3 linked regions of the Notamacropus eugenii genome follow. The protein of the gene in region 2 purifies or fractionates together with the protein of the main gene of each other region. This does not show direct contact. Links are inferred from orthologs where the notes say so. Each region holds a gene or a part of one and is shown on either strand. Other genes may lie near its edges. The genes, in order: EIF2B5, EIF2B1 and EIF2B3.

What was found.
Region 1: the proteins of EIF2B1 (region 2) and EIF2B5 purify together in Homo sapiens (affinity purification with mass spectrometry; 7 studies listed by BioGRID and IntAct, counting the BioPlex papers as one, with this or other methods). This does not show direct contact. The link is inferred for Notamacropus eugenii from reciprocal best matches to the Homo sapiens genes EIF2B1 and EIF2B5.
Region 3: the proteins of EIF2B1 (region 2) and EIF2B3 purify together in Homo sapiens (affinity purification with mass spectrometry; 7 studies listed by BioGRID and IntAct, counting the BioPlex papers as one, with this or other methods). This does not show direct contact. The link is inferred for Notamacropus eugenii from reciprocal best matches to the Homo sapiens genes EIF2B1 and EIF2B3.

What each region holds. Positions count from the first base shown.
Region 1 is NC_092873.1:57,223,455-57,233,430, reverse strand, and holds the start of EIF2B5 (translation initiation factor eIF2B subunit epsilon), read left to right. Parts: upstream 1-5,707; 5' UTR 5,708-5,970; coding exon 5,971-6,150; intron 6,151-9,706; coding exon 9,707-9,831; intron 9,832-9,976. UniProt on the Homo sapiens protein: Acts as a component of the translation initiation factor 2B (eIF2B) complex, which catalyzes the exchange of GDP for GTP on eukaryotic initiation factor 2 (eIF2) gamma subunit.
Region 2 is NC_092875.1:38,932,673-38,943,306, reverse strand, and holds the start of EIF2B1 (translation initiation factor eIF2B subunit alpha), read left to right. Parts: upstream 1-6,051; coding exon 6,052-6,319; intron 6,320-7,450; coding exon 7,451-7,552; intron 7,553-8,316; coding exon 8,317-8,453; intron 8,454-8,542; coding exon 8,543-8,659; intron 8,660-10,291; coding exon 10,292-10,408; intron 10,409-10,634. Other genes in the region: GTF2H3 (general transcription factor IIH subunit 3), read right to left, coding at 468-634, 1,588-1,694, 2,231-2,310, 6,041-6,053.
Region 3 is NC_092873.1:506,430,169-506,440,180, forward strand, and holds the start of EIF2B3 (translation initiation factor eIF2B subunit gamma), read right to left. Parts: upstream 4,177-10,012; 5' UTR 4,127-4,176; coding exon 4,112-4,126; intron 310-4,111; coding exon 153-309; intron 1-152. UniProt on the Homo sapiens protein: Acts as a component of the translation initiation factor 2B (eIF2B) complex, which catalyzes the exchange of GDP for GTP on the eukaryotic initiation factor 2 (eIF2) complex gamma subunit.

The sequences.
Region 1 (9,976 bases), on a different chromosome or scaffold from region 2:
AAGCCCAGCAGCAAGAAATAGAAAGAGAAATTTCATTTCAAATAACTGTGAACAATATAAGATATTTAGGAGTCTGCCTGACAAGACAACTATACGAACTATATGAACACAATCACAAAACACTTTTCATACAAATAAAGTCAGATCTAAACAACTGGAAAAATATCAACTGATAATGGGTAGGTCAAGTCAATGTAATAAAAATGACAATTCTACCTAAACTAATTTACTTGTTCAGTGTCAAATCAATCAAACTACCTAAAATTTATTTTATAGAGCTAGAACAAAAATACAAAATTCATCTGGAAGAAGAAAGGTGAAGAATATTAAGGGAATTAATCAAAAGAAATATGAAGGAAGGTGGCTTAGCAGTACCAGATCTCAAACTATATTACAAAGCAAATTATATTATTATATCTGGTACTGGCTATGAAATAGAGTGGTGGATCAGTGGAATAGATTAGATATACAAGACGTAGTAGTAAATGACCTTAGTAACCTAGTGTTTGATAAACCCAAAGACCCCAGAACTCATTACTTGACAAAAATTGCCAGGAAAACAATATGGCAGAAACTAGGTATAGACCAACATCTTATGCCATATACTAAGATAAGGTCAAAGTAGATACATGATTCAGACATAAAAGATGATACCATAAGCAAATTAGGAGAGCAAGGAACTATTCCTTGTCAGATCTATGGAGAAGGGAAGAATTTCTGACCAAACAAGACATGGAGGGCATGATGAAATGCCAAATAAATAATATTGACTTTATTAAATTGAAAGTTTTCACACAAATGAAACCAATGCAACCAAGATTAGAAGGAGAGCAGAAAGCTAGGAAACTATATTTACAGCAAGTGTCTCTGATAAAGGCCTCATTTCTTAAATATATAGAAAACTGAGTCAAATTTATAAGAATACAAGTCATTCCCCAGTTGATAGATTGTCAAAGGATATGAAGTTTTCAAATGAAGAAACCAAAGCTATCTATAATCATATGAAGAAATGCTCTAAATCACTTTTGACTGGAGAAATGCAAATTAAAACAACTCTGAGGTACCACCTCACATCTATCAGATTGTCTAATAGGACAGAAAAGGAAAATGATAAACCTTGAAGAGGATGTGGGGAAATTGGGGCACTAATACACTGTTGGTGGAGTTGTGAACTGATCCAACCATTCTGGAGAGCAGTTTGGAACTATGCCTAAAGGGCAATCAAACCTTGCATATCCTTTGATCCAGCAATACCACTACTATATCTATATTCCAGAGATAAAAAATAAAAAAGGAAAAGGACCTACTTGTACACAAATACTTATAGCAGCTCTCTTTATGGTGGCTAAGAATTGGAAATTGAGGGGATGCCCATCAATTGGTTCTGAATAATCTGTAGTATATTAATGTAATGAAATACCATTATGCTATATGAAGTGATGAGCAGGTAGATTTCAGAAAAACCTGGAAACTGATGCAAAGTGAAATAAGGAGAATCAGAACATTATACACAGTAACAGCAACACTGTGGGATGATCAGCTATGAATGACTTAGCTTTTCTCATCAATGGAATGATCAAAGAGAACTACAGAGGACTCATGGCAGAAAATTCTATCTACATCCAGAGAAAGAACTGAATGAACTCTAAATACAGATCAAAGCATGTTATTTTAACTTTATTTTTTTTCATGGTTTTTTCCCTTTTGGTATGTTTCTTCTTTCACAACTATAAATAATATGGAAATGTTTTACATGACTGCCCATATATAAGCTATATCAAATTGCTTACTGTTATAGGAAGAAGGGAGTGGAGGCAGGGGGAAAGAAAAATTTGGAATTCAATATTTTGTAAAAATGAATGTTAAAAATTGTCTTCACATATAATTGAAAAAAATACTCTTTTAAAAAAGGACCCTTCCAGTATCCTTCAAGACCTTAAAACCACCTCCTCCTTGAAGCCCCTGATAAAGTAGCACTATTTACTGTAGTAAAGAGACTACTGAATTTAGAGATAAAAGATCTGAGTTTTAATCCTGGATATGCTACTTAACTCATTGTGTAACCTTATGTAAGAAATTTCCCCTCCTGGACTCAGTTTCCTCTTCTGTAAAGTGAGAGGATTGGACCAGGTGATTTCTAAGATTTCTTCTAATTTTAAATCTGTGGTCTTATAATCCTATGAATGCCCTGAGGTCCTGTTAAAATTCTTGCTCTACAAACCTTTTCTATTCTTCTGAGTTTCTGTGTGAGGTGTTTGAAATAACTCATTATGTAAATCATCATGATCTAGACTCCCACCAATGCAGGACATTCTATTTACAGACCATGGAAGAGTCTAAGTCAAATAGCCGATTATTTAGTTAGGACAGAATAGCAAGGTGGATAAAAAAAATAAAGAGGCAACAGAATCTTTCTCAAGGTCAGAAAGACCTTCAGATCTGATCTCAGATACTTACTAGCTGTGTGACCCCAGGCAAGTCACTTAATCTCCTTTTGCCTCAGTTTCTTCAAATGTAAAATGGGGATAATAAGTGTAGCTACCTCCCAGGTTGTTATAGGGATCAAATGAGATATCTGTAAAGTATTTCATGCACTGCTTAGTACATAGTAGGCATTTAATAAATGCTTGTTTCCTTCCTTCAGGGTCTATATGTGACAACTGTAGCTTGTAACATGTTCAGTGTAGTAGATCATCTCCTACGACATCAGAGGGCTCCAGTTCTCCCCAATAGACTTTGAGCTAATTAGGAGCAGGGACTATCTTTTTCCTTTCATTGGATGGCTAACACTTAGCACCTGGCACTCAGTGTATCAACAAACATTTACTAAGTCTACTGTGTTCCAAAAATTGTACAAAAAAAGAAATCTCTTCCTCAGTGTGGGGCAGGAGAAAGGAACTGGCTCTAGAGTCAAAAGTCATGGGTTCAAATCCTCCTTCTGACACTATGTGACTTTCACTTTAGGGGACAGCTAGGTGGTGCAGTGGATAGAGCACCAGTGCAGGAGTCAGGAGGACCTGAGTTCAAATCTCACCTCAGACACTTGACACTTACTAGCTGGGTGACCTTGGGCAAGTCACTTAACCCCAGTTGCCTCATCCTGGGTCATCTCTAGTCATCCTGATGACTATCTGGTCATTGGATTCAGATGGCTCTGGAGAAGTGAGGCTGGTGACCTGCCCAGACCTCCCTCACTCAAAACAAAGTCAAGTGCAAGTCATGTCGTTATTTCTCTGATGGCATGGTCTTCTTCGGCAACGAAGGATGAACACACACAAAAAAAGAAAAAAGTTAGACACTCCCTACCTTCAAAGACCTTAAGACAACACACAAAAGGAAATTGAATTGGAGGAGAGAAGGAGGTATGTGGTGAGGGAGTATGATGGAAAAGTCCAAATAAGAGCAAAGAGGTAGGAAATAAAGAAATGACTGGTGGAGCGGGTGCTTCTTAAGTGGAAGTTTGGGGAGGGAGTTCATCTCTCTGCCCTCAAAGATGAGGGCTTCCAGGGACAATGGGTTGCCCATGAGGTGTCAGAACCAAGACCAACTTGATTGGCACACAGTAGATACTTAATAAATGCTTACTGACTGACTCCAGCTCTGGCTCTCCACCCAGAGTAATATAGGAATGCCCAGTACCTTCTCCAGGCAAGTCCTGCTTAGCTTTGCTCCCATCTTTCTTTTCAAAGTTCTGCCTTCTGACAAAATTTCTGTGTCCAGACGCAAATCTGCTGGGATTCTCCCATCCTGAGACTTCCTCCAGGGAATATTAGCACCCTTGCCTCTCTGTATGGATACTCAAAGCCACACCAGAGAGCTTCATTAAAGGTATAATAAGGGCTTCTCATGGAATATGCATAAAGTTGTCCTTCCTGCTTGGGTGCAACCACGCCTGTGACTCCTTGTGGGAACTCAGCACTGAAAGGAGTTTGTGGTTTGGTAGGATATGAAAGGTCGGTAAGGGTGGGGATGGGGATGAGGTAGGCCTTGGGTGCCATGTCAGTTAAAAAGTAGAGGTAGCTTCTGACTCATTCTCTTCCTTTTTCTCTCCCCTGTGACAAGTAGTGATAGTCTGTCTATAGACTTTTAGTGAGGGAATGAGCAATCCGTGGTACTCTCCCCACCTCCCTGTCCCTGCCCTTTAGCCACTCCCACATAGAGTCTAGACTCAACCAAGCAAGTTTGCTTCTGGGCCCCTGGCTGCCTTTTCTCTCTCATGTTTCCCTTCCTGAATAGGTAATAATATCTTTCTTTAAGTGAAAAGTCTATAGGTCTTCAGTCCATTGAATAGAGCTGAGTGGTAACAAGGGAAGTTTCTGCATTACAGAAGACTGATAAGAGAAGGAGCCCAGGTCCCTGGCCAGACTTTGAGGGAGAGAGTGCAGAACCGAGGTGAAATGTGGGATGCCTATTTGGCAGCGCTACAGATTGCTTTATATCCTGATGAGATTTAAGGCTCAGCCTCCCAACAGATTGTAACTGTAGTTTGGCTTCCCAAACGCTATCACTTTCCATGCTTCCAGAAATCCATGGCCTCATCCATGTGGGCATTTCAGTCACAAGTGAAGATTATAACCCATATCCCCACCCCCTTCTTATCCTGAGCAGTTCCTACTCTGGTCCTTCCATAACCCCTCTGTGGAGGATCTGGACTGCAGGCTTTTTTCTTGGCCTTTTACTGGTTTATATTTCTAAAGCATCAGCTTAGATGTCTCTCTAGTCTCTGATGTTCTTCCAGACTCTTCCAGTCTGCCCTATTTTCTGATCATTCCTGAGATCCATCCAGGGAACTATTTTCCTGTCTTCCTTCTTCAGTACAATTTTCTCCCCATCTCCTCCAAATTACCTAGACCAGGAGTGGCCTTTCAAGACTGAGTCAGAATTTTATAGAGCAAATCCTTTTATTAAGGGGATTTGTCCTTTGAAGTTTGGATTCAGTCAAAGGATTGCACTTGGGGATCTAGAGGGTCACACATTCCCTACCCCTGATCCTAGACTATAAGCTTTCTGAAAAAAGTGGAGTACACTCTCTATACTTTTATCCTAAGAACTTGGCATGGTGCCCTGCATGTAATAGGAGCTTAATAAATGCTTATTGATTGATTTGTATAATCAGATAGATTATGGCCGTGGTATAGAGACAGAAGGCCAGGGTGTGTTCCTAGGGAAAGACTGGAATCTTAGGGCTTGAGTTCAAATTCTGCAGCGTAATACCTGTACAACCTTAAACATATCACTCCCCCAGTTTCCCTGTGCATCAAATGAAAAGGTTGAGCTGGAATCTCACCTTTAAGTCTCTTCCAGTTCTAAATTTCTGCTCCCTGAGCCCCTGTAAAATGGGAATAATATCACCCTTCCAGGGTTGTTGTATGGAAATAGAAAGGGAAGTCACTACTATCTCTGGGTCCCGTACTGTGGAGCCTGCCATACACACACACACACACACACACACACACACACACACAAAGTTATTGCTGTAGGTCCTTAATTTTTGAAGAGGGTCAATGACGTCACGTTCGTGTGTGAACTGCATCAAAGCGAAGCGGGGTTTGCCTCACTCTCTCCTCCAGAGCCATGCACATGAGCCATGCATCTTCTCGGCTTGTGGGTTGAAGAAGTAAATGACCAGGTGAAGGTCAAAAGACTACAATTCCCAGAATGCTGCTTCGGACCCATCCACAAGCCCTGTACTGCAGTGCGCACGCGCACTTCGGCTTTTCCTTGTCGGGACTGCAGAGTGTAGCCCCGCCCCACCCTTCTCCCCGGAGGCTGGCCGGCCTGGCTGCCGGCCGGAATGCGCATGCGCGTGACTGCTTGACCCCTCTCTCCCTGCTCCCCAAGGTTCACACTCGCTAGCACACGCGCTTTACCTTTGGTAGTGCTTCGCGCTCGTGCTCCCGGCTCCTTTTTGTCCCTTCTGGACCACGGTGGAAGCGACCGGCCGCACGGAAGCGGCAACAGTTGGCGAAGATGGCGGCTACGGCGGCAGCCTCCCGGGGAGGCAAGCGAGGCGGCGGCGGTGGTGGGCCGGGCGGCAGCGGGGCGGCGGGCCGGGGAGCCGAAGAGGAGGCGCCGCCGCCCCTGCAGGCCGTGCTGGTCGCGGATAGCTTCAACCGCCGCTTCTTCCCCATCTCCAAGGACCGGCCCCGGGTGAGCGCTGGGGAGGGAGAGAGGGGAGACCCCGGAGAGCGGAAAGCGCAGGGCGGGGAGACCGCGGAGCGCGGAACGGGGGAGACCCGGGAGCGCAGGGCAGGGAGACCCCGGAGCGCAGGGCGGGGAGACCGCGGAGCGCGGAACGGGGGAGACCCGGGAGCGCAGGGCAGGGAGACCCCGGAGCGCGGAGCGGGGGAGACCGCGGAGCGCAGAGCGGGGGAGACCGCGGAGCGCAGAGCGGGGGAGACCGCGGAGCGCAGAGCGGGGGAGACCGCGGAGCGCAGGGCGGGGAGACCCCGGAGCGCGGAGCGGGGGAGACCGCGGAGCGCGGAGCGGGGGAGACCGCGGAGCGCAGGGCGGGGAGACCCGGGAGCGCAGGGCGGGGAGACCCCGGAGCGCAGAGCGGGGGAGACCGCGGAGCGCAGGGCGGGGAGACCCCGGAGCGCAGAGCGGGGGAGACCCGGGAGCGCAGGGCAGGGAGACCCCGGAGCGCAGGGCGGGGAGACCGCGGAGCGCGGAACGGGGGAGACCCGGGAGCGCAGGGCAGGGAGACCCCGGAGCGCGGAGCGGGGGAGACCGCGGAGCGCAGAGCGGGGGAGACCGCGGAGCGCAGAGCGGGGGAGACCGCGGAGCGCAGGGCGGGGAGACCCCGGAGCGCGGAGCGGGGGAGACCGCGGAGCGCAGAGCGGGGGAGACCGCGGAGCGCAGGGCGGGGAGACCCGGGAGCGCAGGGCGGGGAGACCCCGGAGCGCAGAGCGGGGGAGACCGCGGAGCGCAGGGCGGGGAGACCCCGGAGCGCGGAGCGGGGGAGACCGCGGAGCGCGGAACGGGGGAGACCCCGGAGCGCGGAGCGGGGAGACCCGGGAGCGCAGGGCGGGGAGACCCGGGGAACGCTGAGAACGTAGTGAGGAATACCTGGAGAGCACGGGGGTGGGAGCAGGGCACTTGTGGAATGCATTGGTGAGAGACCAGGGATCTTAAAGGAGCTGGGAGTGGGGTGACCCTGCGGCAGAGTACTGGAAGGGAGGAGAGCCCCCTCTCCCCTGCACAGGGGAGAAGAGGATCCCAAGGAGCAGAGAGGGGCAGCTCCTTGCTGCAGTACCCCAGAGATTGAGGTGGGCACCCAGAGTCAGGTGAAAGGGGGTGGGGGTGTGCCCCTGCTAGTTCCATATGGTATCTATGGACATGTTCTCAAACCGCCCTGGTCAGGGGACGTAGGGGAGCACTTTTACCTCCTCTGTACTATGTACATAGACACTCTGTGCACACATCCCCAGAAGAGGCTCAGCCAGGCCTGATCAGATCTGCTGATACATGCACTCACTGCTCCCATATCCGCTCCTAGGCTGAGCCTTACCCAGGGGCATTATATTGACATCTGATTGTCAGGGAGAGGGACAGGCTTCCTGACAGCAGGTGGCTAGGGACCAAGAAACCGATTCCCTTACCTGAAGGATCTGCAGCCTTGGGGACACTTGGAAACTCTGGGGGTGGGAGAGATTTGGGATCATCTGAAGACAGCCCTTGGCCCTCTTCTCACCCCCCAATCTCACATGGGGAAGCTGGACTTCTAGCACAAAGATGAACGAAAAGATGGATGGTTCACCTTTTTCTGGTGGTGACCAGTTTACAAAGCAAGACCGTAGAGGGGGTCACAAATTGTTTTACAAATGAGAGAACAGGGGGGTCCTATTGACCAAGCAGCTTGCCTCCAATCCCACTGTGAATGTATGGCTAGTGTGGAAAGTCTAGTCTCTTTTCACTCCCAAGGATGAAGGAGGGAGGAATGAGGAGCTAGTTCAGGTGCTTTCTGGCCCCAGGAGGAACAAGTCCTAGTGGCTTTTACTAGTTTCCAAAAAGAAGCTTTGTAAAATAAATTTTAATTGATTTTTTAAAATATTATTCACATGTCCAGCTGTGTCTGTCCCTTGCCTGGGAGACATCTCTTATATAATAAAAAAGTTCAGCAAAAGCAGCTCCCGTATGGGAAAAGTCTGCCGCTGTGTTAGGTGTTCCCCACCATGGTCTCCTGCCTCTACCAGGCAAGAGGCGGAGGGGTATCTTCTGTCTCTTCCTTAGTGCCTCCCTTGGCTTTCATCATTTCAGAACTCGTGAGTCAGTTGTACTGTTCTTTCCATTACATTGTTGAAGTCATTGGATAGAGTTTGCTGGCTCTGTTGACTTCATTTTTTGTCAGTTCATATAGATTCCTCCATGCTTCTCTGTTCATCAGCAGGGGGAAACTGTCAGGGGTAGGGAACCTGTGGCCTTCAGGCCATATATGACCCTCCAGGTCCTCAAGTGTGGCCTTTTGACAGAGTCCAAGTTTTACAGAACAAATCCTTTTATGAAGGGGATTTGTTCTGTGAAATTTGGATTCAGTTAAAGGATTGCACTTGAGGACCGGGGAGGCCACGTGTGGCTTTAAAGGCCACAGGTTCTTCACCCCTGTAAGGTGAAGGAAAACAAAATCTCATTCTGCTGCAGGAGAAATGGTTATAATTCTGAGCACATATAGGAACTGTGTGTTCTCACGGGTGAGAGGGTTAAATTGACCTTAGCTTCTGAGGCCCAGCTGCTGGAGCCCTCTATTAAAGATCATTTCCTATTCCCTCAACCCTTCTGCTGGACAGTTGGGAAATGTTCCAGGGCCAGTGCTTGGGGCTGGTTGGCCCTTAGTGCCTGCAGGGAGCTCTTAGACCAGAAGTAGGTGACCGCAGCCTTGGCTCCCAACTCCTATGTTACCCTTCACAGCATTGAATGGGTTTATTTTGTTTTGTTTTGGTCTGGATCTGTGATGATGGATCACAGAGAAAGGTGGAGAGGATGGGAACAGCCTCTTATCCAACACCTCCTTTTGTAGATGAGGAAACTGAGCCCCAGCACAGTGCAGTGCTGCTCAGGGCCAAGTGGGTAGGCAGGCTGGGATTTGAACTGGAATCTAGGAATGGCCAGTTCCACAGTCTTCTCATATGGCTGGAGAAATCCTTGGGAAGGGGCCTCCCTCTGGCTCTTTGCCTAGCCAGCTGGGTCACCTGGGCCACCAGCTTGGGCAAAGGCCGGGCATGAACCCAGGAATGACTTCCTGGATCCAAAGCGATCACTGCCCACTGCACCACTGTACCTCTTCGGGATGTTCCTGGCAATCGAGGACAAGGAAGGAAGCTTGAAAGGATTGAGGCCTTGGGTTCTGCTTTTGTGTGACAGATTGTGGTAGAAGGACAAGAGAAAATGTCCTCCCCCCACCCCACCCCACTTCCCTGAGGTGACCTGGAAGGCATGTTGGAAGATGAATTACTCCAAGCTTCCCTGCTTGCTCCCTAGAAGTTGGTCTGCAGAGTTTCAGGAGAGGCAGTTCCTGGACGCAGAATAGAGAGAGGGGATCCCAGATGCTTCTGAATAAGCAGCTGCTTTGTTCTGGCCTTCCCACAAGAAGCTGGCATTCAGCTCAGGGCCTTTTCAGGGGACTGGAAACCTTAGTGAGAGCTGAGGAGAGGAAGATGGTATTTACGAGCTACCCCCCAACTAAGGCTTTCTCTTCTCCGCTCCTCAGGCCCTCCTGCCCTTGGCCAATGTGGCCCTGATCGACTACACTCTGGAGTTTCTGACTGCCACAGGGGTGCAAGAGACGTTTGTGTTCTGCTGCTGGAAGGCTCCCCAGATCAAAGAGCACATACAGTAAGATCCTGGCCCTTCTCAGTCCTTTCTAAGTGGGACAGTCACAGGTTGGGAGGGGAAGGGCCATCCATTCCCAACCCCTAAGGATGCCTGTTGCTGGCAGAGAAGAGTAGAGCCTGGAGCACTGAACTCTAGAGGCTGTTTT
Region 2 (10,634 bases):
TTTTCACTTTTCTGAGTCCCCATCTTATCCTTGTGACTAGACAGGGAGCTCTGGAAGGTGGGGACGGTCTCATTCATCTTTGTGTTACTGGGAGCGAACTACCTTGCACACAGGAGTCATTTAGTATAGAGCTGAGAAATTCAAGTAAACAGCTTTATTCCAAAAGAATTTAGGCAGAAACTAAAGTGTGAACACTAGGATGCTGCCATCTTGTATTTTTCCAAGGTCTTATTACATGCTGCCTTTCCTTTGAGTTACTTAATCAGTTTAAAGCCCAAAGGACCAAGCAATGTAAATGTGCTTAATAAAAAATTTTAATAACAGGAATTTTAAAAAGATTAATGAAGTAGAAAGTACTAAGAAATTCAAGAGGTAACTAATTCTCCCAAGGTTTCTAAATCTCCAACTCCTTTAAATAATACTCTCTTCCTGTCCAAAAAAAAAAAAAGCCCCTGAACTCCACTTACTTTTGGTCATGAGATCTTTAATCTCTTCGGTAATTGCTTCGTTTGCTGCAGTTAATAACTCATATTTTCCATCCTTACTACCTGAAGGATTATACTCTGCAGAGCTGTTGCCAGGATCACCAAATAAATCTCCAAATTTCCAGTTCTTTCCAGGATACAAAAATCGACTTTAAAAAAAGAAAAACAAATGAACAAACAAATGTATTAAATAAAGCCTTTTCCGTTTAAATTCTGCAGCAAAAGTCAAGACATTATGAGTAAAAAAGAATTCAAATTATAAAAATATTTCATTAAAGAAAATGAAGAGAACTTTGAAAATAGAATTCTCTTAGAGGAACTACAGGAGGATTATTTGGGGTTTTCTGAAGCCCAGCAGGATGGTATGTATTGTCTACTCTGGTTCTGACCTGTGAACCCATGAGCTTAGGGGACTCCCAGTGAGGCAATTCCCTCTGCCAATTTCAGTCACCAATTCTTCTGCACCTTAGGGTCTCACAGGGTTGTTTGGGGCACTGAGTCATTACACAGGTTGGGTCAAGATAGGATGGGTCAACAGGTGGGATTGGAACTTGAAGGCTAGTTCTTTCTCTGCTCTTTCTCGATATTGCCTCATTTGTCACATTCTTTTCATTTTCTCAACTTACAAAGAGAGGGCTTCATACTTTAACTTACAGTAAAACACATGAGAACTAACTTTTCCCCTGCACTATGTGAGTTATACCAGTGGCAGCCAAAGCCTAGCCCCTGACCCACCACATGGGGCCATAGCTGGGCTCCTGATGACAATGACAATGCCTGTCATTTATTTAGCTCTGCAGGGTTTGCAAAGCATTTTACTTACAATGGCCTGGTCATAAAAATGTAATGGGAAAAACAAATACGAGGCTGAGAAACAAGAGTTGTTTTATTTGGGTGCTATTTTAATTAGCTGATATCACCTACTGAGATTTTACTATGTCATAATATAAGAAATAATATATTTTTCTTCCTAATAATATTGTGGATATTAATTCATTCATCCTTTTATGTATCCCATAATAGCAAAAGAATATTTGTTTAGAAAGCACACAAGCTGCAAAAATGTTAGGAAACAGTAAAATATTTATTATAATAACCATACCTCTCTTGAATATGACTTGCTATCACAGCAAGTTTGTTGGAACGATTCATAAACAAGTGAGAATTTCCCATCACCATGACAGCATCTAGGCATTTTGACAATGTGAACTGTTGAAAAGGAAGAAATTAGGAACGATGATGGGTCCAAATCCTAATAGTGGAATCTAAACAAATTTTATCTAAAATCTATACTTAAATTTAACAACATCTGTAATTAAATAACCAAGGAACATAAGTTTTTGCAGGAATGCTCAAGTAAAAATATTTGAAAATTTCTGAAAATTGTATTTTTCTTCTTTCTCTTACATGTGACTATTTCTACCCATTACACTGAATAAACACTAGATTCCTGCAAAGCGTACAGCACCACACCTGGAAAACAAATATAACGTATCTTGAGTGTTCATAGTTTAAGTTACTGCTATGTGTGCACTAAATGCTTGCTTACTGATTTTAAATATCATAACATTCACAATTTAAATTCTGCATATCTTTTTCCACAAACAAATTCAAAAGAGTATATTGAGTTAAATGACATTTCAAGAGTCAAAATTCCTTATCTTAATTTCAAAATGGCAATTCAGATATTCAATTAAATTAGTATTAAGATTTTAAAAAGTAATCCTCAGCATAATGAACTTTACCTGAGATTCTTTCAAAGCTTGTTTTCCCCACCAAATTGGGTTTGTATCAACTATGATAACTAGAAGGTTTAATTCATCATCTGAAATCACAAGAAACATGAGAAAGATCAAAAAACAGTTAACATTTCCTATTTCACCAGTTTAATCCACAGCTCAATTACAACCAACCTGCTTATAAATATCTATTGTTCTACAGAAATGCAGGTTAAGAGGGTCTACACAGGGGAGAGGGCCAAGATCTTCTAAAAACCAGGATGAGGTCAGCCTATAGAAAACGCCATCTCTTCTCTCCTTGTACACCCAACGGTCCAACGCACTTGATGCCTGGAATTGTTTTTGTCATGAAGGCTAAAAGCTAGGAAAACTTATTTACCCTAAAGTGTTAACAACTTACTGGGTTATCCAAGTCACCTTTAGAGTTTAAGAGGAGAGGGCAATGCTTTGGGGCATCTCAAAAGCAAATCAGTTAAGGTGGAAATCCTGGTATAAGTGAGAAAAGAGATTTAGGGAGTAGAACTGGCTATCAGCTAGCCTTGATAAGGAGTCAATCAAAGGCCTTAAGCTCAAACCACCTACACCCACCCACACCCACACCCTCACCTACACCCACACACACACCCCCCCACCTCCCCCACACACATCCTTACATATATTTTGTATCTACTGGTACTGGTGCCAAGGCACCAGATATGCTTAATAAATGTTCACCAAATGAAGAATCAATGCAGAGACTTACACAAACCTTTGCTGTTCTCTGCGTATGATGTCACATCCCCTGCCTCTGGGCTTCTGTGTGCCTCCTTCCTTCTTACCTATACCACAAAAAATCCCTCACTTCCTCCAGAAAGTCCTTTCCTGACCCCTTAAGTGTCAGTGTTCTTGCCCCACTGAAATGGTTTTCTATTTATTCTATATTCTGGTTACAGCTTTTCCTCAGGATGCAGGGTTAAAAAGCAAAGGATTCCCATGTTCTACTATAAAAAGTGATTAGGCTGATCACTCAGGATATGAAAGGGGAATTTCAGACAGTTTTTTCCTCACAGAAATAAAAAAATGTCAGAACCGGAAGGGGTCTTGGTGACCATCTGAGGCAGTGTGGTACAACATACGGAGAATTACTAGAAAAACCTGCTTTTGACTCCTGGCTCTGGCACTTAGTCGTGGTGGGAGGGGGGACTCCCACTTTTTAACCCCTCAGGGTCTCTAACTCATCTTCTGTAAAATAAAGCTGTTGTACATAACTCAACAAGTATTCAGCAGACTCCTAAATGCCAGGTATCTGTGCAAGGCACTGGGGAGACAAGGGCAAAAGGCAATGATTGCTACTCTCAAGTGCTTACAATCTACTGGGAGGAAGCAACACAGATGGAGAAATCAGAGAAGGAAGAAATCTAAAATAATTTTTTAGGGGGAGGCAAGGCAAGGGTACTAACAACTAGGGAGATCAGGAAAGACCTCCAAGTAATGGTGGCGTCCAGTTTGGCCCATGAAGTAAGTTAGGGATTCTACAAGGTAGAAGTTAGGAGGAAAAGCATTCAGCATCATGTAGAGGCAGGAGGTGGAAGGAGGAAAGTAGGGAACAAGAAGGTAATACAGCTGGTAACAATGCAGAATGTCTAAGAGAGAGTAACATTCCATGACTTGGTAAAGATAGGCTGGAGCCAGATGGTGAAGGGGTTTAAGGGCTAGACGACTAAATGATCTCCAAAGTCTCCTACAGATCCCTGCACCTAATCCAAGCATTTCATTTTACAGATGGGGAAACTGAGGACGAGAGGGAAAAAGGGCACTCTTGCTATCCTCAAAGACTCCTAGAGCTCTGTACACTCTCACTGGCCACCAAACACTCTAACTGACCTATGTTACCTTATTCTTTAACATTTACTTTTAAAATTTTCATCCACATTTTTATTTTAATCTAAATTCTCCCTCCCTCCAGCCTTTCCCCCATCCACTGAGAAGGCAAGCAACATAATACTCATTATACATGTGAAGTCATGCAAAACATTACATGTCACATTCTTCACAGCAGAACGTAAATTTCTTGAGGGCAAGGACTACTGATATTTCTTTTAAATTAAAAAACGTCTTTCCAATTCTAATTTTTAACATTTAAAAAAAATTTTGAGTTCCAAATTCTCTCTCCTTCTTTCCCCTCCCCACTCCTTGAGACAACAAGCAATTTGATATGGGTTATACATGGGCAGAGAAACTATTGGCCTGTGAATCACTGGTACCCAGCACAGTGTATTTCACATAGTAACCAACGTGGTGTAACGGAGGGAGTGCTGGGCTAGGAGCCAAGAAGGACTGAGTTTGAATCCTGCTTCTAACGCTTCCCTTATATGACCATAAGTAAGTCACTTTAACAGAGGAATGATGCCCAAAGAAGCTGCCTCATGGGGCTCTGCAAGCCTGAAAGTAGCTGTGACTTGAATGATTTTGTAAAATCCCAGAGTTGGAAAGGGCTGACTGTGGCTTCTGGGGTGCTTCCCAAACTGGGGTGCTCAGTGCTCCAGATATCCCCTGGGAGCATCACTCCAGCAGACCTGAACACCAGGGGCCCCTCAGCTGTCCTCCATCTAATACCAGCAGTCGCCTCAATTCAATGCACAATTGCCTAGATCTTTCAAAAGAAACAAGTACCAACTGTGCTGAGACCCTCAGTTCTTTCTCCTATGAGCTGCAGACTAGCCAAGCACTGCCTCCCCTCACCCAGCGATACATAAAAGCTACAGAGCTGGCAGGGAGCCTAGAGGTTTAGTCCAATCCCTCGCTCTTCACTTTATCAATGAAGAAATTGAAACCCAGGGAGTGGATCTTGCCCATCTGAAGTGACTTGCCCAAGGTCACCCAGTTATAGTAAGTTTCAGAGGTCGGATTTGAACCCACGTCCTGTGACTCCAGAACTGAGACAAATGGCAGTAAGTGACCTGCCCAGAGTCACACAGCTAGTAAGTATCTGAAGAGGTATTTAAACTGAGGTCTTCCTGGCTACAACTGTAACACTATTGTTCTCTTTGTTTCTTTTTATCCCTAATGCTTGGCAACATTGTAAACGTTTGATAAGTGCTCCTTCATTCATTCATCATCCTGCAGCCCATGCAGGAAAGGACCTTAGAAGTCCTCATTCCAACTCATAGAGTTAATGAGCATTTATTAAACTGCCGTGGGCCACAGCCCGTGCACAGCACTGGGGATACCCCTACCCCCCCCAAAAAAAGGCAAAACAAAAAACCAGACAGCCCCCAAACAGAACACATGGGGCGAGGGTGGGGGCGGGGCATCACCAGCCTCCTCAAAGAAGACGAGGTCGCTCAGAGAGGTCACAGGACCGGAGGGACCCTCGGACACCATCTAGTCCGGCGGGTGCTTCGGGTCAAAGGTCCTTGACCTTGCTTGACCTCAATTTAATTGGGTTTCTTTGGGCATTTTATGCATTTACAACTTGACTCTGGAAGGGGGTTCCTAGGCTTCCTCAGGCTGGCTGGCCCATCGGAGCCTCGGGTCTAGAGGAGGAAACTGAGGCTCCGAGAGGGGAAGGGTCTGGGAAGCGTCGGATGGAGGGGTTGAATCTAGGCCGGGGCTCTCTCCCTCACCTTACAGGGGAGGAAACTGAGGCCCAGGAGGGGGACGAAAGGCCTGGCCCGAGCTTCCCTAGGTAGCTAAGCACCAAGAGGCGGGATTTGCACCTAAGTCTCGACCCTTCCCCTCCACAGCTCTGGGCCCCTCCAGGCGCTCTCCCCGCCGCAGCCCCCGGTCCGCTCCGCCGGCTCCGGGGCTTCCCTGTTTGCCCCAGGGCGCGCTCACCTTCGGAGATCATGGCGAACCTCCTGCGCTTCAGCGGAGAGCCGCGGGAGCCCCGCGGCCACCGTACTGTCCTGGCCTTCTGCGCAGGCGCGAGCTGTCGAAGGAAGTTTGGCCTCTACCGGCCGCCGTACACGCGGGCTGCTGGGAAATTGGGCCCGGCCCCGCCGTGGGCGGGCCGTGCGTGCCTCGGCCTGGACTATCAGTCACCGGGCCGGTCGCCCGGGATAGCTGTGGGGAAAGGCGGACGGCCTCGTGGCCGCGGCGCCATGGACGACTCGGGTAATGCGGGGCGGGCTCGCGGGACTCGGGGCGAAGGGGGCTGGAACCCGGGACTCCCCAGAGCGAAGGAGGGTGGGCTAGACCTGGAGGCCGGAAGACCTGGGTGTGAATCCCGCCCCGGACCTTTCCCCATTCGTAGAAAGGAGAGCACGCTGGATTTGGGCCTCAGTTTCCCCTTTTGTAGGATGAAGAGGTTGGACCGGCGGGGTTTAAGCTCTAAATCTGTGGAGGATCTGGGTCCAACCCCGGCCTCCCTGGGCCTCAGTTTACTCATCTGTAAAAGGGGTGGCCCAGGAAGTCCCTTCCATCTGCTGTATGTGCGCCTACACGCATGTACACGTGTGTATATGTACACGTGCATCCATGTGGGCGTGTGTCTGTGTACATAAGCGTGTGTATACAGATGTCCACGCATGCGTGCACATTCCGTCCCTGCACCTTCGCCGAGAGACCTTTCCAGTTCCCTCTGCCCATCACCCCAGTCTGCCCCCGCTGCGCCTTGTTTGTGCGCCACTGTTTGCACGCCGGACCGGGAGCTCCCGGGCTCCCTTTGGGCTCCTTCGCACTTAGGAGGCGCCTCTGAGTTGGGCTCTGCGTGCCGGGCACCGCCCTGGGCGCTAGCTGGCACCAGGAGTACCTTCGCAGGCACATCCAGAATAGGCACAGGGTCATTTCGGAGAGCAGGGAGGCTTCGTAATTCAGGAGTGATGACTCCGAGAGATTGGGAAAGGCTGCTGGATTGGGGGCCGAAGCCCCTCCGCCAAATGGGACCTCCCGACTGTCGGGCACTTTGCTTTTTCTGGGTCTCCGTTTCCTTAAGTGTGAGATAAAGTATTGCCCTCAGGGTACGAGCCTGTGGTGGCTTCCCCCGGGCACTCTAGGAATGCCTGGTATTACAGTAAGAGCGCTGGATCTGGAGTCACCCATCTGAATTCCTATACTCTTCTCCTCCGAAGTTTCTCTTCATTTTGACCTCCATCTGTAAAATGAGGGGTTTGTATTTCCTTACCTCTAACCCTGGGACTCACCCTAGGGGCTGAGGGTCCTCAGGCATCACAGGTGATGCTGTAGGTGATACAGCCTGCCGAATGAAACTTGACGTATTTCTTCCCATGGTCCCCTCCTTCCCAGATTTGATTGAGTACTTTAATTCCCAAATGAAAGAAGATCCTGATGTGGCTTCTGCTGTGGCCGCCATCCGCACCTTACTTGAGTTCTTAAAGAGAGACCAAGGTAAGACGATCTCAGTCAGCAGTTCCCCAAATTCCTTTCTCCAGGAAAAAAATGTTGGAAAGCCTTATGTGTCTGTGAGTTTGCATAGCCACATGCCCCTTCACTCTTGACTGTTCTCAATTTAATTTTGACCCAATTCCCAGTTATAATCAACTAACATTCAATAATTAAATACCTACTATTCACGGAGCATTATGCCAGGCTCTTAATAAGAAAGGAGACCTTGACTTTGTACTTATTTTCTTAGATAAAATGCATAACCTTTTCCATAGAATAGTGCTTTGAGAGCTCATTTGCAGAATAGAGATATACTGTAAATTTATTTGAGCATTTTCTGTTCCAAAACGTATTTAGCTCAAATCATTGTACTAGCAGAACAGATTTTTATTCTCAGATAAAGAAATTGGGTTCATGTACTTAGTAACCCCTTCAGCTTAATTCTCTGAGATGTGCCAATGACATAGACTTGACTGATTTCATAGAATCTCAGGTTACTTTTGCAAGGTGAGAGTAGCAGAATATTGTGGAAAGAACATTTGGAATGTCACTTCTTCTCAGGCTGTCAGCTTTCTCTTTCGTATAGTAAGAGATTAGATGCCTTCTAAGATTCCTTCCAACCCTAAATCCTAAAATACGGAGGAAGCTGTCGACTAAGAAATCCCTCTCTATTTCAGAGATCTTTGTTTGTAACATAATTGTCCTGTAAGATAAAAGGATGAATCAGTTTCCAAACGCAAGTTTTATTGTACTATTGAACTTTGCAGGAGGAACAATTCAGGGTTTGAGAGCAAATCTCACAAATGCCATTAAAATCCTGTGCAGCGTAGATTCTTCTGTGGCAGTCTCCTCGGGTGGAGAGCTCTTCCTTCGGTTCATCAGTCTCACCTCCCTGGAGTATTCAGTGAGTTCATGTCCTGTCCAGACTGCTTTTGTGCTTCTTTACGTGGCTCTGGACAGCCTCTACCTTGATTTCTCTTTCACTTTTTCTAGGATTACTTAAAGTGTAAAACAATCATGATTGAGCGAGGAGAGCTCTTTCTCAGGAGGATCTCACTTTCCAGAAGTAAAATTGCCGACCTGTGCCATACTTTCATTAAAGATGGAGCTGTAAGTGGAATCATGAGTTATCAGTGCTATGTGGGAGAAAATGTTGTAACGACTTATGTAATGAGGTATTGGGAAGGGCTTTGTGGCTCTGGGACTCAGGAGTAACAATTTCAGTTGGTGTTTTACTAGGATAATCAAACTTTGATGGTGCTTCCCTTAACCAGTATACATCCATGTCATCATATGTGCACATACCAGTTGTCTAATTACCTTCTGTCTCTTAAATACCTCCCTCTGAGTTTATCCCCTTTGAAGTACATTAGTAATTACTGAAACAATTCAAGGGCCATGGGTCGACTTGTACATCATCTCACCTGACCAGAAACGAGATCATTGACTTCCTCACCATCTCTCTGTTTCATCGAACACACACAGTCATGTTAAGTTATATAAGCCTTTCATTTATTAAATTCATTTTAGCATAGTTCATACATATCTGTATGTTCCTCTGCTTTGGTTTAATGATGTGTCCCGGTAAAATTCCTGTCCCTTCCTCAAGGTAGGGAGCATTTCATTTTTGTCCTTAGATTCCTGGCTCCTGACACAATATTTTCCACATAGTTGGTGCTTAATAAATGGTTGTTAAGTTCAACAAACATTTATAAGTTACTTTTATGTGTATGGCATGGCACTAGATCCTGGGGTTACAGAGGTCTGGGGCCCCATCAGTCTAACCAGCTTTGTGCGGCCTTGTTCATTTAACTCCTTAAGTTTTCGTTCCTCCTTCATTTTCTAAGAGGCCTGTTGACACCTAGCAGAGGTGGACCAAATAAAGCCTTTGGTCAGTGAACAGTGGAGGCTCTAACTAGGGTCACTCGGTCAGGGTTAGAATTAGAAGGGACTTTAGTAGTCATCTAGACCAACCCCCACATTTTCCAGATGAGGAAACTGAGGTGCAGAGGCGAAAAGTAATTTACCCAAGGTCTCACAGACTAAGATGCCGATCTGGGATTCAATTCCAGGATCACTCCAGGTACAGATTCTTAGGCTCATAGAGCTAGAAGATGTGTGGGCTCTAGTGAGGGCCACAGAGTCATGTACGGAGTCAGAAAAGACATCAGTAGTCTTCCAAACCAGTGATGTCAAATGGAAATAGAAAACATGTTGACATAGAAAACCACAATTTAACATTATGTTATGCTGTATTCTAGGTTTTGTTAAACTTTTCCCAATTATGTTTTACCTGCTTCCTTCCAAGTGACATCTCTGATCTAGATCAACCCCTTTATTTTACAGAGGAAAATGAGTCAAGTGACTTGCCTATGGTCACATGGGTGGCAGAGCATGAAACTAGAACTTGGACTACAAATTCACTGTTCTTTTCACTGTACCCACTGCCCCTTTCTGAAAGGGGAGGGGGGTGGTGGAACAAGGCAAGAGGAGACCCATCAATTTGTGGATTGTAGGATCTTTTCCAACCTCTTTCTTTCCCCCCTGGGCTGTCACCTTCATGCTTTACACACAAGGCTGATTTAGGAAAAGGATTATTTATTGGGAAGTATTGTACCATTGTGGCAAATGGAATCTAGATTACATCAGAATATCATGAGGCAACATGACCAGCTTTGTACCAGTTTTCATTTAATTAAAAGATGAAAACTCATTAAGCATTAAAATCTCTCCATTTGATAGAGGATATTAACTCATGCCTACTCACGAGTGGTGCTCCGAGTCCTGGAGAGAGCAGCTGCAGCCAAGAAACGCTTCAGCGTGTATGTCACCGAGTCCCAGCCTGACTTGTCTGGGCAAGTATCTTTCTAGTCTGTCATTTTAATGGCTGTTACTTTCACGTGTGAACCACATGTTGTCATCCATGTTGTTACTGGCCATGCAGGGCCCCTCTGTACCCCGGATGCACTGGGAGCAAAGGGCTGGGCTTTGGGGTGTGGCCTGAAGAATTTCCTCAGGGTTGCTTTGCAAGTGACCAAGAGATAGTAAGCTGTGGTAGAGAAAGTAAAGCTGTCCTTTTTGAGGG
Region 3 (10,012 bases), on a different chromosome or scaffold from region 2:
GGCATCTCTGGGGAGCCTCTGACTCAGCAGGTGGTGAAGCTCCACTCTCTCCTTTCACTCCCTGCTCACAGCCCTTTGTAAATCTGACAAATTACAGGGCCCAAAGTACGTAGGGCCCAATGACAGGATTTCATGGTAGGCAGCAAGCTTACCTTCAAACCCAATGCGCTCCAACAGGTTCAGCGGGTACCAGATCAAAGGTTTATTGCCAACAGGGAGCAGGGGTTTGGGAACACTGGAAGTCAAGTCTGTCATCCGGGATCCCCCTCCCACAGCCATCACCACTGCTTGAAACTCCATGTTTCCAACCTGAAAACACAAAGAGAGAGGAAGTCAACAGGGCCAGTTTGTAATGAAATCTGAAGCACACCAGAATGCACTCACTCAATTTTCCTTTTAGCCATCTATAAATCAGTGGGTGCCACCAGAAACTCCCAGTATGGGAAATAAGAACTAAAACCATACATAGAATTCACTGGGCTCTCAAGTTCTATCCAAGAGTCAGGGAAGATGTGGGCTGGAATCCTGTGTCTGAAGAGGAGTGTGATCTGCTGCAAGACCCTGGGCCAGTCCCTTAACCTCTCTGGCTCAGCTTCCTCTGCTCCAAAAGGGGAATGCGGCTCCCTATCTTAGGTAGATGCAAGTACAAGGACAACTTGCCCTTTCCAGCGTAAAGGGACATCCTGAGAACTGGAAGAAGGATCCTTAGCAATCAGGCCAGGCCCACCGAGTCAGGTTGCCTCCCAAACACATGGCCTGGCTGCAGCGTTTGAGAGGCATCCTCAAAAAACCCACACTTGATCTGTCCATCCCTGCTAGCTATGTATGGTCCCATATCTTCCCTCAGTTTTGTGACTACACTGTTTGAGAAGGCTGTCTACAATAGGTGCCTCCATTTCCTTTTCTCTCACTCTCTTCTTAACTCTGTAATCTCTTTTCCAACCTCATCATTCAACAGAAACTGCTCTCTTTACAATTATCAATGATGTTCAATGGTCTTTTCTCATATATACATATATCTATAATTTGATTTTTGCATTTTCTTTCTAAATTTTGAGTTGCAGATTCTCTCCCTCCTTCCTACCCCTCTCTCAGTCACTGAGAAGACAAACAATGCATCAATTATATCATGATATTAATTAATATCATGCAAAACATACTTTCATATTAGCTATATCATAAAACAAAGCAAAAAAAAGGAAATTATACTTCAATTTGTATTCAGAGTTCATCATTCTTTCTCTGGAGAGAGGATTTTTTTCATGATGAATTTTTTCATCATGAATCCTTTGGAATTGTCTTGGAACACTATATTGATTAGAGTAGCCAAGTTTGTGTGTGTGTATGTGTATATATGTGTGTATATACATATATATGTGTATATACACGTGTGTGTGTGTGTGTGTGTTTATAAACACTGCTGGTACTGTGCACAATTTCTCCTGGTTTTGCTCACTTCACTTTGCATTATTTCATAGTGGTCTTACTATGTTTTTCTGAAATCACCTCCCTCCTTGTCATTTCTTATAGTACTCCATCACAATCATGATACAATATGTTCAGACATTCCCCAACTGGAGGGCCAGTCCTCGATATTCAATCTTTTGCCACCACAAAAAGAGCTGCTATAAATATTTTTGTACATATGGGTCCTTTTCCTTTTTCTCTGATCTCTCTGGGATACAGACCTAGTAGTGATACTGCTGGATCAAAGAGCATGCCTTTGTCATTTTTGATAGGTGTGAGGTGGTACTTAAGAGTTGTTTAATTTGCCTTTCTCTAATTAATAGAGATTTGAACTATCTTTTCACATGATTATAGAGTGCTTTGATTTCTTCTTCTGAAAACTGCCTGCTCATATCCTTTGACAATTTATCAATTGGGAAATGGCTCTTATTTTTATACATATGGCTCAGTTCTTCATATACTTGAAAAATGAGGCCTTTATTGGAGAAACTTGGTGTAAAAATTTTTTATGTTACTTCATTGTCGATGGTACCTTTCAGAAAACTCTAGTTTCTCTGGTCCTCTCTTTTAAGTAGGTCTACTTTTGCTTCGCTTTGTCTGAGACCATCATAGCTACCCTTACCTTTTTTCACTTCAGCTGAAGTGTATTAGATTCTGCTCCAGCCCTATTTCTTTAATTCTGTATGTCTTTCATGTGTGTTTTAAATGTGTCTCTTGAACATAACATATTGCTGAATTCTGGTTTCTAACCAATTCTGTTATCTGATTCCATTATGGGTTAGCTCATCCCATTCACATTCCCAATTATGATTACTGTGTATTTCCCTCCATGTTATTTTCTTCCATTTATCCTTCTCTATCTTTTTATCCTGTCCCTTCTCAAAAGTCTGTTTTGCTTCTGACTGCCTCTCTTAACCCAACCTCCCTTTTATCATTCCCCTTCTCCCATATCTCTTATCCCCTTCTCTTATTTCCCCTTTAGGTGAGATAGATTTCTATACACAACTGAGCATGTACACATATTCTTCCCTCTTTGAACCAGTTCTGATGAAAGTGAGGTTTCTTCCAAGCCTCTTTTATGTGAGAAAATTTTCCCCACTCTACTTTTCCCTTTTCCTTTCTCCCAGGGCAACCCTTTTTCTCACCCCCCCCCCTTTTTTGGGAGATGATCCAACATAATCCACTAAAAACCCTAACCTCACTCTATGTAGACTCCTCCTAACTGCCCTAATGATGATAAGGTTCCCAGGCGGCCAGCAAAGTTGTCCAACTAGTTGTCCAATCCCTTAATGTCCAACTCTACCATCTTGGCTCTGCCCCTCCCCCATGGCCTTTTCTCAGTCTTCATTCTTCTTTCCCTGTCTCCAGCATCTGACACTGTCCTTCACCCTCTTCTCCTTGATAATCTCTTTCTCTGGGTTTTCAGGCCACCATTTTCTGCTGGTTCTCCTCCTACCTATCTGACCAGCCCTCAGTCTCCTTCGCTAGTTCTTCACTCAAGTGGAGATGTCTCACAGTGGCTATCTCTTAGGGCTTTGTCCTGGGATCCTCTTCTCTTTTCCTTCTATACTGTTTTATTTAGTGATCTCATCATCTCCTTATGAATTCAAGTATCATCTATGCAAATGATTTTCAGATCTACTTAATCAAACCTAACCTCCTGGCTGAACTACAGACTCACATCTTTGACTGCCTATTGGATATCTCCAACTACAAAGGTCCCATAAACATCTTAAACACAACATGACCAAAACTGAACTCATTATATTTTTCCCCAAAATCCCTCCTTCTTTCTGAGTTTCCCCTTACAGTCGAGGGCATCACCATTTTTCCAGTCACCCAGGTCCTCAACTGAGGAGCCACATCCAATTAGTTACCAAGGCCTATCTATCCTCCCTTCTTACTGTCTCTGAACAACATGTACTCCTTCCTCCCCTCCCATGCTTTCACACACAGCCCCACCTCACCTTGACCCCCACCTGGTACAGGCTTTCTCCTTCTCTTATGCCTAGACTATTGCTGCAACAGCTTGCAGGTGGGTCTTCCTGCCACATTCCCCAAGGCAGTTCATCCTCTACTCAGGTACCTGGGTGAACTTCCTAAAGCACAAGTCTGACTATGTCACAGAAACACACTCACCCTCAATAAACTCCAGTGGTTTCAGAAGTTCACCTCCAAGATCAAAAAATAATATCCTGTTTGGCGTTTAAAGACCTTCATGACCTGCCCCATCGCCACCCCCTCCCCTCCCATGGAGCTGCACTAGCCTCCTGGTTGTTTCTGCCACAAGATGCTCCATCTCCCAAACCTCTGCATTTTCCCTGGCATCCTCCATGCCTGGAAGGCAGTCCTCATCTCTGCCTCCTGCCTCCTGGCTTCCTTCAAAGCCTAGCTAAAACACCACTTTTCCTGATTTCCCCACAAAGATCGGGGTACCACCATGCCAGCCTGAGCCTTGGGCAGCCAATGGCTCCTCTGCAAATACAACACTGCCCAAAGGGGAAGTTTCTGGGGTAGGCTGGCAGAGCTGCCCATCCAAGTGCTCCACCTCTCTCAGTTGCTGCACCACTGCAAGACTTGGTGCTACTGAGCTCAGATGAGCTCCACCAACTCCGGCCATGGGCTTCAGAGGCCACAGACTCACCTGGACACTGGACATTGGAAGGTGGGGCAGAGGAAGACCCCAGGCGGCGCTGCCACAAGCCTGGCAGATGGCGACCTGGCCAGGGACCACCAAGCCTACTCACTTCACAGATTATACATCCATGGACCCATTCAGGGACCCCAGGGCTGCTGCACGGACTGACCCTCCCCCCAGGCCAGAGACCCTGGTGCCCCCCAGACTGACCCTCCCCCCAGTCAGGGACCCCAGGGCTGCTGCACGGACTGACCCTCCCCTAGAGACCGTGGTGCCCCCCCCAGACTGACCCTCCCCCCAGTCAGGGATCCCGGGGCTGCCACACGGACTGACCCTCCCCTAGAGACCCTGGTGCCCCCCCCCAGACTGACCCTCCCCCCAGTCAGGGACCCCAGGGCTGCTGCACGGACTGACCCTCCCCTAGAGACCCTGGTGCCCCCCCCCCAGACTGACCCTCCCCCCAGTCAGGGACCCCAGGGCTGCTGCACGGACTGACCCTCCCCTAGAGACCCTGGTGCCCCCCAGACTGACCCTCCCCCCAGCCAGGACCCGGGGCTCCCCGGCCCTCCGATCGTGCCCTCTCCCGGGCTCTCTGAGCCCTCACACACAGACAGCACCCAGGCCACCCCCAGCTTCACCTCTCCTTCAGCCTCCAGTCACACGCCAAACTGACAGCCCAATGGCGACCACGAGGCTACTGCGCTTGCGCAGAGAGCCTACTCCGCATCGATCAGCCAGGGGCGGGGCCAGGAGAGAGGACCAGCCCAAAATAAGCGAGCGCCGAACAGAGGATCCTGAATCCCTGCGGCTAGAGGAGGAGAGGGCAGAGAGGGAGGCGGGAGAGGGCGGGGGGAGCGGATCCTCGGAGCCGGGTGCAGAGCCGCCGAGGGCACCCTGCGGCGACAGCGAGCTCACCACCTGCCGAGCAGCCGAGAAGGCGAGCCGGGCCGGCCCGGGGACAGCAGCGGCAGTGCCGGGGAACTTCCCGGCTTCCCAGGCCGGGGCTCGGTTGTCCCCTTCTCCGGCCGGTCCTGGCCCCTCCCAAGCCGCGCAATCGCCCCGCTTTCGGGGTGACCGGCCCCAGACTGCGGCTGTGGGAAACCTCTGAGTCCCGGGGCAGCAGCGCCAAGCCGGCCCACCCCTCCAGCCTTCGCTGACCCCCCACTCTGGGCCAGGTACCGAGGGGGATCCTCTCCCCTTGCTCCATCTCGCGCGCACCCCTAGCTTCCAGAGCCGGCCCAAGTAACAAGCCACACTCCACGAAAGCAACACAGCGAGAGTAAGCTGTTTGTCAGGACGTGTGACCCCCTGCTGGGCGCTCGGCGGCTGTCCCAGGTACCCATCGGGCCACTGCCCTCGGGTGAGCAGTTGTGTCCTGTTTGCAAGGCTTCAGAAATGCCTGGCATCACTTTACCAACAACTGACCGATTTGTCCACCAGGTGGCAACACATTCACCCCGACAGCCAAGTGGACCCTTGTGTGTTTCCAGCAGCCCGGCTTGCGTCTCCTCACATGCTCCCACCAGGGGACCCCCTAAATGCCTGCCTGCGTCTCACTAGGCTAAGGTTTCTTAGCAGCTGGCAGTCCAGCCCCCTCCCTACCTGCTCACTGTTCTCTCTGGCCAGTGCAGAGCCTTGGTCTCATCTTGTCCAGCCCCTCTTGTCCACTCTGTGTGTACAAAGCTCCCAGGATCCCTCCGGATTCTGCCTTTATTGGGCTGGTGGAATGGCCCTGTCCCGAGCTGTGTGTGTGCCTCATTCCACCCACCCCACAATCCATCACCTCTGTCAGGACTATGCTGGGAAGAAGACTTTGCCATCAGTCTCCTGGAGCTGCTCAGAGTCCTGAAGTCTTCCCAAGATACTTTTCTTTACCATGTTGTTACTGTATCGCTTCTAGTTCTGCCCCCTTCCCTCTAGCTCCATTTATACAAATCATTCCAGGTTTCTCTGAAACCCTCGCCTTTACTATTTCTCATGGCAAAATAATATTCTATCACATTCATATACCATAACTTTTTCATCCATTCCCTAATTGATGGGCATCCCCTGCGTTTTCAGTTCTTGGCCACCACAAGGAGCCAGTATAAATGTCTTTGTACCTGTCAGTCCTTTTCTTCTTTCTCTCTAGACAACAGATGTGGTAATGCTCTTCCTCGTTCTTTATGTATGTAGCACACCAAGGACTAAGTTAGAGTCCAAATGTGGTGGTTCCACAATTCCTGATGAAGAGAACAGTTTGTTAAAGACAGATCTTTTCTACTTTTCAAATGTTCTTAAGGAACTGGGTCACTCCCTAAGCTTTCTAGAGACTCATTTTCCCTCCATTTCTTCTGTTTTGTTAGGTGATATGATTCATAATCTTCTACTGTCCTCCTCTGTAAGATTTTCCAATGAGTTTATATTCTAACCTGTCTTTTCCCTGTTGGCTGGATTTTCTTGATAGATATATATAGTTCAGTTGTTTTTTTCAGTCGTGTCTGATTTTTCCTGATCCCATTTGAGGTTTTCTTGGCAAAGATCCTGGAGTGCTTTGCCATTTGCTTCTCCAGCTCATTTTATAGATGAGGAAACTGAGGCAAACGGGGTTAAGTGACTTGCCTAGATTCTAGTGCCTGAGGCCAGATTTGAACTCAGGTCTTCTTGATTCCAGGGTTAATGCTCTATCCACTTTGCCACCAAACTGCTCCCTCTTGATGAGATGGAGAAAATGTTTACTTGCTGCAGCAGTTTCTCAAATCATTGAGCCACTTCATCGTGGTGATCGATTTGCATAAATCAATTACACTTCCTTAGGAAACATTGATGATCTATGCCAATTTCTGTTCCTTTATTCCAATCTCATTTTTCATTGTCAATATGCTTATTCAAATAGGTCAGGTCGGAACTGTATTGCAACACACTATATCTTCTCAATTTTATTCTCAATTCTGAACTTGGCTCTAACAAATGGCTAGTTTGGTTGCACACACATAGTTGATTTTAGAATGTTTCCATATTGGTAACTAGTCTTTTCCTTTTTGTTAAGATATAGTCAATTTCATTTTTTGTGGTTATTTAGCAATTCTCCATGTCTAGTGCCCTAGATTTTCTTCTTTTTTTTCTATTACATTTTCATTTACTGTATTAAATATTTTCCAATTATATTTTTATTACTGAAACTTAATTACAAAATAAGAAAAAGAGAGGATATCATATGCACAGCAGAATGTAAAAAAGAATTCAAAACATATAGCAATAAATTTCCATTTCAAGAAAGCCTGTATAATAAATACTACACGTTGCGTTGAGAGCTATCCATCTTTTCTTTGCTTCCTTATTCTCTGTTATGTCCCTTTTACTTTGTTCTTTTTTCCCATTCCTTCCCCCTGCTCCCCCAGAAGACTACAATTAAGTGCTGATATATTTGTATATTGATATAAATACCTGGATTTTCTTCTTAAAGAAATTGTTCATGGTATAAAACATTGAGGCTTCAGTTTTTCCCACAAGCCCTTGGACTCATTTCTTTTTTTCTCCAAATTTATTAATGTCTTCAGTTTTCAACAATCACTCCCATAAGTGCCAAATTTTCTCCTCCTCGCTCCCCAAGATGGCATGCAATCTTATATGGACTCCACACATACATTCCTATTAAACGCATTTTCACATTAGTCATGTTGCATAGAAGACTTAAAATGAATGAGAGAAAACAAAACAAAACATAACAAAAGAGAAAATAGTCTGCTTCATTCTGCATTCGGATTCCATAGTTGTTTCTCTGGATGTGGATGGCGTTTTGCATCATATGGACTCATTTCTTAATCTTGAGTCATATGTGATGGGAAAATAAGAATGCTACCTCACATTTCGGTAGTGCTTTATAATGAAACTTGATAGCAATCTTCCTTCCCAACAAACCTTAAATGTCTGATATGATTTGTTTTTTGTTGGCTTTTTCTGGTAGGAGAGGAGGAAGACTTGGGCAGGGGAAAAGAGTTGACTAAAAAAAGTCAAAGAAAGAAAAAATCCACAGAAGAGAACAGCAAGGAGAAAGGGAAGCCAAAAGAAATTAAACTCTCAGTTCCAGGGAGGCCAGACTTAAGGGTAACTCTCTAGCAATCTCCATGATGCCTCATTGTCTATGAAATAATATGTGTTTATGAAATAGTAAAATGAGGAGCCCAGTTTTACATTTGGGAATTTTCCCCATGGTGCTGTAGCTTTGTTTTATTTTCAACATTACAGGCTCTTGGAAAGGCCCCCAAAGCTGTGGTGTCAAGGGCCCCCAAAGAGTCCCTATCTACTTCCACACCTGGCTGGCCCGGCAGATTAGATCTGGGCTGAGCTTGGCCTCTGTCCCAGACCTCTGCTAGCATTAATGTGAAACTCATTGGCTTTTCCAGGCAATTAATGAAATGATTCTATAGATTTCTGCTTTACATGATTATTTCATATTCCTTATTCTCTCCCAGGTTGCTGGGAAGGGGGCTTTCTTTGCCTGTCAAGGGACCTCTGTGGCAGCCAAAAAGTTCTTGTAGACCCAAGGATCATTGGTTGTGGGCCTAACCTCTTACCATGACCTGGAGCCCACCCTATCATCCCACTGTAAGCCCCAGTTGGTTGAATTCTAGTCAGTGGGAAAGGAATCATTGTTTTCAGATTGTTGGATCAAGGATCAAAAAAAAAAGGGTGGAGAAAGGAGCCCAATTTGTCGACCAAATGCCAGTCCTCAAACACTGGTGTTTTCAGTTTTGTTCCCTAGCCCAGGAATGGCCTAATGGATTGATTCATCACAAAGCTGTAACCAGATTCCTGGTATTTGTTTACTGCTTCCAGGAGAACTGGGGGAAGAAAACCTTCATTAATTGGATGTGGAATAATCTTCTGTAAACACATGTGAATGATGTTAGTGGCTTCCCCTGCTGTCTCAGAATGGTAGATCTGTCCTAAATGAAGCAATCTCATGGACTCAGTGATGTTTCCAGCTGTGAATTGGGAACATGTGTCAGCTGGGCTGGAAGTCATAGCCAACCTGGGAGTTAAACCAGCCCTTGGAGGTCATCTAGTCAGTTAACAAGCATCTGTTAAGCTCTTACTTGTTAGGGATACAAAGAAAGGCAAAACCATGGACCCCACCCTTACGGGTTCACATTCTAATGGGGGGGGGGGCGTGGCAGAGATGAAAAGGAAGCCCAGGGTTGGTCAGCACTTGGCCCAAAGTCATAAATTGTTTACAGAGACTGCCTCACTCTGAGTCCAGAACCTTTCCCACCATATACTTGTATTTTCACTCTGGAGTTTTCTAGACACTGATGGCTCTTAATTAATTTACCTGGAACTGTTAAGTGTTGGCAGTATAACGTAGGCCTCCAAAAATAAAAATATTTCGTATTTTTGGTGACTTATTGTTTACAAAGTGCTTTTCCCATAAATTGTGCGTCTTTTATGTGACACCTGGGAACTACAACAGCCCTGTAGTGTAGGTAATACAACGTGGCTCCTGGACTGCCTTCCTTAAGTCTACATGATGGAAGCACGTCACCGTAGTAATTATCCAGCAAATAGGTATACTATCAAAGGTGTCTAGCAGGTAGCACTCTCCTTGAGCCGCCAGAAGAGTAATTGCCACATACTTTTTCTGTTACATGAGTGGGATCATATCCAAAAGTGGCTCTGTCTGGGTAGCTAGGTGGCATAGTGGATGAAGCACCAGGAAGCCCCAAGTTCAAATCCAGCTCAGATACTTACTAGCTGTGTGACCCTAAGGAAGTCACTTAACCTGTTTGCCTCAGTTTCCTCATCTGTAAAATGATCTGGACAGAGAAATAGCAAATCTTTCCAATATCTTTGTCAAGGAAACCCCAAATGGGTTACAAAGAGTAAGAACAAATCTCTTTTGGCCATGAGAGGATGCTCAGCTTACAA